3 linked regions of the Styela clava genome follow. Each later gene encodes a partner of the first gene's protein in a complex. Links are inferred from orthologs where the notes say so. Each region holds a gene or a part of one and is shown in the gene's direction. Other genes may lie near its edges.

The links.
Region 2: centrosomal protein of 290 kDa-like (region 1) and B9 domain-containing protein 2-like share a complex: the UniProt entries of both Homo sapiens proteins name them as parts of the tectonic-like complex. The link is inferred for Styela clava from reciprocal best matches to the Homo sapiens genes CEP290 and B9D2.
Region 3: centrosomal protein of 290 kDa-like (region 1) and transmembrane protein 107-like share a complex: the UniProt entries of both Homo sapiens proteins name them as parts of the tectonic-like complex. The link is inferred for Styela clava from reciprocal best matches to the Homo sapiens genes CEP290 and TMEM107.

The regions. Positions count from the first base shown.
Region 1 is NC_135257.1:13,835,682-13,839,445, reverse strand, and holds the start of centrosomal protein of 290 kDa-like, read left to right. Parts: upstream 1-952; 5' UTR 953-1,006; coding exon 1,007-1,183; intron 1,184-1,589; coding exon 1,590-1,694; intron 1,695-2,858; coding exon 2,859-3,065; intron 3,066-3,142; coding exon 3,143-3,298; intron 3,299-3,764. UniProt on the Homo sapiens protein: Involved in early and late steps in cilia formation. Its association with CCP110 is required for inhibition of primary cilia formation by CCP110.
Region 2 is NC_135258.1:12,602,773-12,605,695, reverse strand, and holds B9 domain-containing protein 2-like, read left to right. Parts: upstream 1-1,072; 5' UTR 1,073-1,114; coding exon 1,115-1,642; 3' UTR 1,643-2,345; downstream 2,346-2,923. Other genes in the region: tRNA-splicing endonuclease subunit Sen54-like, read right to left, coding at 2,759-2,923. UniProt on the Homo sapiens protein: Component of the tectonic-like complex, a complex localized at the transition zone of primary cilia and acting as a barrier that prevents diffusion of transmembrane proteins between the cilia and plasma membranes.
Region 3 is NC_135256.1:19,257,481-19,261,244, reverse strand, and holds transmembrane protein 107-like, read left to right. Parts: upstream 1-1,362; 5' UTR 1,363-1,419; coding exon 1,420-1,506; intron 1,507-1,820; coding exon 1,821-1,989; intron 1,990-2,219; coding exon 2,220-2,316; intron 2,317-2,831; coding exon 2,832-2,898; 3' UTR 2,899-3,222; downstream 3,223-3,764. UniProt on the Homo sapiens protein: Plays a role in cilia formation and embryonic patterning. Requires for normal Sonic hedgehog (Shh) signaling in the neural tube and acts in combination with GLI2 and GLI3 to pattern ventral and intermediate neuronal cell types.

The DNA.
Region 1 (3,764 bases):
ATTGCAGTTGCTGTACCCATTTGGCGGTGTGGCTCAACGGGCTAAGCGTTAGGAATACGCTCGCCACCGCACCTCTAATTACTCTGCATGGGTTCGCAGGTTCGAATCCCATGCAGAGATGGTTATGTGCGAGAGGATTGCTGGACTCCTCGCCATCGTTGGGTGGTTCACGTAACCGCTGGTCGGTTACGGCTTCCTCCACCACCAAGTCCATGCTTCCGAAAACAAACAATACAGTAAAACTAATCCCATACCCGACTTGGAATGGTAACCGGACGAGAGGCCGTGGTTCGCCATATGGATAAGCCGTCTTATCGGCTTTCCTCTCCCCCGGGATAAATATGTAAAATCCTATCCTATCCTACTGAACCAATGTCTGAATGTGCATAAACAAAATGTAATTTGCTTAGGTAACTTTAGTAGTACCTTACCGGTAACGTAAGTTACCCTATTATCTCCGCTTTTTATTCCGATCCATCTAAAATCTATAATACTTTACGTAACATTTCTTTTATATTTTCTCGGAACATTGGCTACCGATCGAGAAAAAAAGCCAACAGCAGTGATCCCCAAAAAGAATTTGCTATAGCGATATCTCAAAAATATAGCAGAAATGTTGATGTGGCGATAATAGGAACTACGATTATCCTATTATTGCCACTTGTGTCAAACTTTTTATATACGCAAAGAAAGAGCTATCAATTGCAGAATTGCCTCTGCTACGTGCACTAGAAGTACTTATGGTACTATAATAGACCCAATGTACTTAGATTTTGTAGAAACTCAGTAAATCCTGAACTGTGTACTGGTATAAGTCAACACATAATTCCGTTAGTTGCAACAGGTTCTTCCAACCTCCTAAGAACACACATACTAGTAGCTTTTACTTCTATTTTACTCAATTACATACTTTTGAAGTTACATATCATTTGTTTTTCCCCATTATTTTCAGGGTTCGAAATGATCTTATAGAAATTGACTACAAAGACATTTTGCCATTTTTATTATGGCTCCCAATATTGATTGGGCCACTGTTGGCACAGTGGCTCAAGGTAGTTCTACAGTGGATGACGAGACAATTGACAGGGTGGTTGAAGATCTTCGTACAGTTAAAGATGCAGATTTTAAAAATGAACCAGACAAGTTGATCATGCTTTTCAAATCTGCTTTGAATATTCTTGATGTAAGTACTAAATTATAATGAAAGCCTCATGTAGTTTTGTGGGTATAAGGGTGACCTATAAAGTTTCAAATACAGTTTTTCAAGGTATAAAACCTATTTCATACATCAATTTAAAGTTAAAAAGTGTTTTTGTTTGAATGGAAAACTTCTATCATTGAAAAAAAAAATCTGTAAAATCAAACCCGAATTTTTTTTTCCTCATAATGATTAATGAGTTCCCAGTTCTATGCCAGTGATTTTTATCATATGTAAACTTGAACTGCCTATAATAAAAGTCTTTTTCTGGTATTTATGGAAAAGTTATTCACCAAAGTGTTATTTCCATCATATCATGATTTTTCTCTTCTGTAACTCACTGCGACAAATCCAGCTAACTTAAAACTTTAAAATGTCATACCATCTACAGCATCGAGAGCAAGAATATGAAGCTTTACTCGATGAACAAGTAAAATCTGTTAATGATAAAGATTCACAGATTGAAGAATTAAAAAGAAGGCTAGAGGATGAACGAGTAAGATTTTGTCGAATAATTGGGAATGAGACTTAAAAATTTATATGGTTTAGCAATTTGCTCATTATGAATGTAGCAATATTATTTTCTTTGTTAATATTTTAATGCTTAATCACATAAATTTGAATTGGCACTATTTTGAGATTGATACAACAAGAACAACAAATGCAAAATATAAAAAAGAGTCTTTTTACTGTAAGACATTTTCAATTGTCAATTGTGTCAATGTTTACAATAAATAATATAGTGTTCATTTCCAAAACATCTCACTTTCAAAATACCAATCTATTATTATTACTGTGATAACCTTTTTCTAAGTTGATACGCTATCTGCTCCATTTCCGATTTTCTATATATCTGTTATATATTCAGTCTAATTGTGCTCTATACTACTTCAATTCTGTAGTTAATATTGTTCACTTTCCACGAAGTCTCTTCTAGTTTTCAAAATACTTTGGTATCCGTCTCATGCTCTACTAACAAATAGCATTCTTTCATTTTTGAACCAGATTAAGTTGGTTTCTATTCAAAACTATAGAATGTATTTAAACTGATGATACATAACATTAAGTTTTTATTTATTTCACATTAATTATGAGATTACTCTTTTTTCTCATTTAATTCCAGTATAAAAGAATATTTATCTTAGAACTTTTATGTGAAGTATTAGTAAAGAATCAAATATTCATGAACCACTGACCAGATCTTTGCTAAATTTTTCTATCGAGAACATTTAGTTTAGAATGTCATTTTATGTTTTAAAATAAATTGCTCAGTTATTATTGAATGGTTGAATAGCTGATGATTTCAAAATAGCTTTATATCTCATCAGAGGGTAACATATATAATGCTATATGTAGGTTTTGGAACTAGGAGATCTTTATTTTGAAACAGTATCATGACTTGGTGTATGAGTAAAACTAGATTTTTTTGGAGCAATGCAGAGATAAGTAATATTATTGATTTTTCAACTGGAATTTGAAATGATCAATAAATGTATATTCATTTGAGAACTGGAACTTCAACCTGCGCTTGTGCTTCCTCCAAAAGTTTGATAACATTTTTTTCCATACTTATAATTTTATGACTAGTATAGACATATGGTAATTCTTAAATTCGAAAATTACATTTATGACAGACATTGACGTTTCTTGGTTTTTGCAGAGATTTGGATCGGGAGGTGCTGGTGGCCTCCGCGGCGACACGGAATACATTCGTGCGGAAAATAGGAATCTTGCTGAATTGGTAGAAGGATACAAAGAACAAGAAAGGGAACTTAGAATTGAACTTGAAGAAATGTCGAGAGATAGATATACTTTTGAGCGAGAGAACAACGAAATGAAACAACAAGTTAAAGATCTAAAACTGGAGGTACGTTTTTAAAATGAAAACGTTAATTTTACATCATAATGCCATATTTTTCGGCTAAAATATTTCATGCTTTTTAGAATCAAGAATTGAAAAGTGATCTTCGCGACTTCCGTGATATTATGGAGAAGCAACATCGTGAACGTTTGGGTGTCAAAGGTCATATTGATTCAGAAATGAAAGACAAACTCACTGAGAAAAACAATCAAATAACAGATTTACTCGATCAAATAACGGTTTGTATTTTTCTTTATTCAGGAATTGTGGTAGAAATATGCTATCTAATTAAATTCCAAGCCAACTAAAGTTATGTGAGATAAATTTTAAGGCTATGTGAATAAGTTCATTTCTGTCTATATTTTTATCTCATTTTTTCTAAATGTTATTTGAATCAATTTTTTAACACAGAAGTGGGTAAATTACGGCCCGTGGGCCTGATTTGGCCCACCGAAGTGTTTCATCTGGCCCAGTTGTGCCTGCTGAAATTTTACGATTATAAATTTTTGTTGAAAAAATCAATGAGAATAGCGAATCGTTGGCCAAAATAAATAGCGAACTTCTCCTGTATTAATTGTACTCTAATATAATGTACAGAACGAGCCATATATTACCTTAAACTCACTTATCCGAATTATTTATGTCATTGTAAAACTCGAGTCTCGGCCAGGAATAGCTCCTGAGACACGTTTTTAGAGAGACCTT
Region 2 (2,923 bases), on another chromosome or scaffold:
ATTTCAAAATTGGCACAAAACAAAAACAAATAAAGCAAAATTCCAAAAATATATTAAAAAATAAACTTCAACCTTTGTAACCAAAGGGTTTAAGTGGTACCGCTTGATTTAAAATTAATGCATCAATGCTCCAGGATACGCGGTTTATTTGTTGTTCTGCGATTCTGGATACGGTTTCTTTAGTTAAAATATTTATTCTAAATTCCGGTGTTTCATATATATAATCTTGTTTTATTAAAATATTTATTCTAAATTCCGGTGTTTCATATATATAATCTTGTTTTATTACATTGAGAATTACCTGTATGGCTGGATATAAATGTGATCAATGAATAACGGTTGAAGTACTGAAATGAATGTTTGTATGCTAATGCTGTAGGTACCGCTACATAGTTATTTATTTTTGTTCCTATATAAGTATGTTTTGATTTTCCCGAAAAAAAATCATACACAAAACACAAGAATGAACACACAGAAGATTGCGAAAATTTGGGAAACTTGCAAAACTTTTATAAAGGTACAATACATGTAAATAAACATGCGCATTAATAAAGAATAATTGTCATAGCTGCCAATGGGAAATTGAATGTATGTTCAGTCCAGGTACCGCACCCTAGTAGTGTATTGACCGGCTTCAGTTTACTATAGACTGAATAAGTGAAATATTTTTTGAATAATAAATACCATTAAAAGAATTAATACCATTATCTAGCAATGTATTTCATCTGTCATGTTGTGTCATACCAGAACCTCTCTATCCAGTTATTCATAGATGTTTAACGATTTGGTCATGTTCGATAGCAAACAATGTTTTAACATTAAGTTAATACTGTGCAAAAACTCCATATCGAATTCCCATTTTTATTGTTCCAGTATCGAACGACTTTGATATAGCTAGGCTATACTTGGTTTGTCAATTGGGTACTCCTGAAGTATGTGCACCAAGATGTCGCATAACCTGAACCTGGTTACCAACCCGAGTTCAGGTTGTGCGCCATCTTGGTGAGCATACTTCGGGAAGTCCGTCAATTGTTCCATACTATTATATTAATTTGTTTTTTTACTTTGCCTTTAAGATTTATCATAAATATGTTGAACCATTTATAAACAAACCATGGCTGAAGTCCATATTATTGGTCAGTTAACTGGGGCGAGTGAATTTCCAGATCATAGACTTTTCTGCAAATGGGGAATTCACGCAGGAGGTGCCTGGAAGTTGATAGCAGGTTCAAAAGATGGACAAACTCAAGTAGACAATCCACAAAATGAAGAGTTCGCTGCATTTTGTCATCCAATAGACTTGCATTACGCAACTAAAGGACTTCAGGGCTGGCCACGTCTACATGTGCAGATTTGGCACCATGATGCATTTGGGAGAAACGAACTATACGCTTATGGATTTGTTCACATTCCGTCGTCTCCAGGACCACATGAAGTTGAGTGCATGACATGGAAACCCAATGGAACATTTAAAGAAGAATTGATGCAATACTTTGTTGGCGGATGCCCACAATTGAAAAATCCAGAATTAATATACAGTGGTGCAGACAGGTATAAATTGCATACAACTGCTATGGGAAAGGTTCATGCACAATTGAATGTAATACTGAGAAATTTTGACAAATTTGGCATTGAAAGTTAGTCATATGTAGCGTTTTCAAGATATTTTTGTGACATATTATTGTTTCTGAACCAATACTCATACTGTGAGAAGTGTAAGGTGGTATTGAAAGAAGATGTTGAATTAGTGGTATTCTATTGAATGATTTCTTTAACATATCTGAGAATAATGTAGAAAATCAACATTCATATTTCTGCGATATTACATCCCCCAATTCATTTTGAAATATTTTTGAATTTCTATTTTGAATAGTAGAAAATGGTTCGGTTTGACCATTAATAGATATATTCATGATGGCACTTTTCGCAATAATGTTTAATCTTCAAATTATCCATTATAAATTGATAATAAGAGCGGAGGATTTATATAATTTTGAGCAAGGTTGCAAATGTGGATTTCATGTTTTCAATGTTTATACTGTTGTAGTAAATATATATCTGTTAAAATTGTATATTAATAAATATGACTTACTGTATATTGTAGGAAATGTTTCAGCTGGTGAGCGACTTATCTATATCAATTATGATATTTTTCATTAGCATTCTTATACCAATAAAAGTTACATTATTGATGGAAAGGGCCTGCGATTACTGATGCTCCTCAAAACAGTTTTGAAATATATAAACTACATATCATAAAAACACACTTCATTAGCAAGTGGACGTTGACTCAAATATATTCCTTTGAAATGAACCATGGCAAATTTTCTGATTTGTCAGATATAATCAGATTTTGAAACGTCTCTAATAATACACAATGAAAACTGTAGCTCGATGACACTTGGAACAATGATTTGCCTGATATGATATTTGACTTAACGGAACATGCGAAAATGTAAGGTTAACTAATCCTATTCAGCATTGGAACTAAAGCACATACACTGTATTGTAAAATATATTTTGTTTTGTTGATATACAATGCAGAAAATTTCATGAAACATGAATAATTTCAGTACAGCCTCAACAAATTTGAAGAAATATTTCCAAGCAGTTAGTTGTCGAAGAGAAACACGGGATAATGTTCATCATCACCTTGCAACTTCTATCAAATATCAGACTCATTTATTTATGAAAATAATATTTATTGCCAATCTTGAAAATCATGTCTGATTTTAGAGCATGAGAGATTAAAACACTATCACGGATCATTAATTATAGTGGGAACACCACCTTCATCAATGGAAAAAAATGATATTTGTCCATAATCAACAACTCCATATTTGACTGGGACACTATTTGATTGTCTATTAATAGTAATATTAGTCAGTGTATCAAGAAATTCGTCCTGAATTGTTGTTACAAC
Region 3 (3,764 bases), on another chromosome or scaffold:
AACGAGTACCGGTACCAAAATCCTAAATCCCCTTCAGGGTTTATTAATTTTTTTTCGAAGTTTGTTTAAAAATAATTTTTTTAGCAATTGAAATAAACATGATTTTTTTTACGAGGATCAAGTTTTATATGAATATTGACTAAAGCAATCAGGTTAATCATATGTGCGATGGCAAGCGTATTCTTAACGTATAGCACGATGCGCCACACCGCCGATTCGAATATTGTTCTCTGCAAACACCGTTTCACAGGTAAATATTTAATAGATACCCACTCAATGAAATTTATATATATATTGACGGTAATTTCAATACCGGCGCTCTTCGGTGATCCGATAAAGTAGTACAGTGGTACAGACATCTCTCATCAGAAGTTTAGCGATCATATCGTAGTAGTATATATTTACGATCATATGCAGCGACGGGGTTGGTTACGCATTAAATCGAGCGGTTGATCGTGCTCATGAGAGTTAACACTATCATCTGATAGCCTACGTTTCAAATGAGCTAGACTAGACTATACCGATACCGTACAGATATACCGGTACGGTACCTAGTCTATGCGCGATTTAAGTTTAACCGGGGCATAAGCAAAGACGTCAGAATGCTATTACCGGTATCGAACTGTATCACTGTCCTAGATCTCAAGAGTTATCGGTACCGGTTAGCCTATGGTGCATAACTAAAACTTACCGTACTACAGTTACGATACATTGACTATTCACAGATTTAATCTCATTTTGTAGCCTATCTCCCGTCTTACTGCAATATTATGGTGCCAGTACAACTGTCAGACTCATCCAGCAAATGCTAGAATGTGTGTTGCCCATCGGGGAATTCAAAATAAACTTATATAGGCCTACTGTATATAACACAGTAATAGAAGACTATTGATGGAAATATAGTTACTGGTATAGTTACTTTCCATTACTGGTATCCCATATTTAGTAGACTATTTTCATGATTTTGGTGCCGGTATTCTAGTACCATATTCAGACAGTATTGCAAATAAGTTAGGTAATTGGGTTGGCTCACCTCATTCATTAGAATACTTGTGTAAATACCTTGTCCGGTTATGACAAGGCTCATCCCTTGCTATCGTAGTGTGGTTCAGTAAGTTTGTATCATCTGTTTGGTTATGGCTTCCTCTACCCTGCCACCATCAAGTTCATGAACTGAAAGAAACACTCTAGTTATGTATTCCTATACTTGATGAACTGATAATTGGACAAGAGGCAGTAGTTTTCAACATGATTAGGCAAACGTTTTGCTCTCCCCAAGGATAAATATGTTCCCAATATATACACCTATAACTGTCTTTGCTGTACCACAGATTTATTATGGAATATTTTCTGTTTTCACAGGGGTAAGCCTATCTACCGTCACCTGTAAATTGATTCAATCCGCCGCATATTAAAATTATGAGAGCTGTAAGTGGTTTGGTACCAACTAGATTCTTGGTTCTCATAGCACATCTGGTGATTGTCATATCAATATTCTGGTCAAGGGTGAGTATTTTTTCATTATCATATTGTATATAAAATACAATTGCTATTTTATGACAAACGTAGCAACTAAAGTGTATTTCAGAGCACCATGCACCAGAACTCTTAGCACAGTTTTTTGGGACCATCATGTTTACATGTATAGCTTTAAACACCAGAAATTACTACCGTAATTGTTGATTTAAATATTTCTTTTATCAGAAAACCTCAAATTAAATGTGTATTAGTTTTTTGACCTATTTAATTAATAGTGCGTGCCTTTGGTTATATTCTATTCTAGTTTTGAGTAAATCATGAAGTGTTCAATATTACTACAGGATCTGAATGTGAAAGCATGTCTTCCAATTAACTACACTGCTGCAGAATATTCATCCAGAGACACTGAACTTATTATTGGCCTTTCAATAACACTAGCATTCTTTTTGGTTGAATTTGGAGGGTTTATTGGTGGAGTTTCAATGTTCAGTCACACGCAGTCTCTATTTTGTATCCTTTTTAACAAATAGTTTATTTAATTCTATAAAAAAAGATTTTGAATTGCAATAAATGGAAATAGTGTTTAATTTATATCTTCAATGTAAGATTATTGGGGAATAAGACGTTAACAAATTTTTTTATGAAGGCAGGTTGAACTCAAGTGGGATTCAGCAAAATTTGTATTTAGTAATTGAGATTTCACATTGTTTACCTCAACTTCCTTATACTGAACTATTCAGCTATTGCGGCTCATGCAGGGGCCAGTGTCACTCTCGCCTTTTTCGTTTTTGATTCTTGGAGCTGCTCTTTATATTGGTGGATTTTTGCATTCTGTAGGTTAGTAATTATCAACAAAACTTTTATTCTCATATACTTTTCATCAGACCAAGCCACAGAATATTTTAAAATAATGGTGCATCATATGACCAATATATTTTCCACTCTTGTATACTCCAAGGCCCTAAGTCATTTCACTGTCGATCTTCTTGTTTTTCTTGATTTTCGAGACTTCTTGATATGTGACTAATTCTAAGTTCTGTTGAATACAGTTTGTAAGTTTAAAAAGACCTGTTGGAGGTTTTGAATGTATATGAAATGTAAAAAATTCCAGTTATTATAAGTAGCATCATTGTAACAAAATGCCCAACAACATTGTTGTGAGAGAATCTCTACGTTTAAGTCTCTTATAACAATATTTGTTTGAAAATATGATTGTTTTTTTCCGTCTTTTTAATTCTCCTGAATTTACCAAAATTGAGAGAAACAAGCTTATGGTAGCCACTGAGTTTTATTATAATTTTATTCAGTGACAAAATCCATTTCCATTGCTCTGTCAATTTTTTTTTTTACAGTGCCCTTCCAGCAATTACTGAGACTATTGTTATCATCGGTGTTTTAGCATTGAAGAAAAACTTATAGTCAATGGCAAAGTTTTTTTTCAGCGTCTGATCAAATGCTTCCACTCCATGCTGGTCACAAAGAATCTGTTGAATTGAAAGTCCTAAATCATGATCAAATAGTGATCCAGGGCTCAGTCACATATCACAGTTTTGCCTTAAAACTTTTTTAAAATTGTGAATTTCATTCTTGGCATTAGTTTTGTAAATATTAAATGTTAGCACGTTTTAAACAAACTTTCTATTTTAACTGCTTCATATATGAATCAAAAAGTTTGAAATTATTTTTACTTGGTGTTTCGCTAAAGGACCCTATTTTTATATAAATATATTTTATTACTGCTGAGTTCTGAAAATTCTTCCACATTGTCTATCTATCGTGGTCGCGTTTTGTATAAGAGTATTTGCGTATAACGTAAATAAACGTTCGTAATTGGTTTTGTGCGGGACTGGAGAACCGATCGGGTCTAAACTAAGGCTTGTGCAGAAAAAGTTATCATAGGGTTATTTTTAGTCACTCCCAAATTTCGAAAGAAAAAAGACTAATTGCTAGAAAACGAAAGCGAGTCAAATGTTGTTTCACCGTTGACATTAGTTCTAATTTCGAGCGTTTCCCAACCTTTTTTGGTCGCGGACTATTTTTTCACCGGCGAAAACCTTTGCGGACCCAACGTGCGTTTATTGCAACCGCACTTACTCTGTGTGAAGAAATAATAAAACCAAACACAACAGAATTTTAAAATCGAAAATTCGCCGCAATTAAGCGTTTGTTAAACGAGCCGACTTTTTTAGTGTATAAATGGCCTTTTCTGTCGCACAATATTCAATCCATGACGACGAGTTTTTTGCAGATAAACTAATTATAGAGTTGTTATACATGAGAATGAA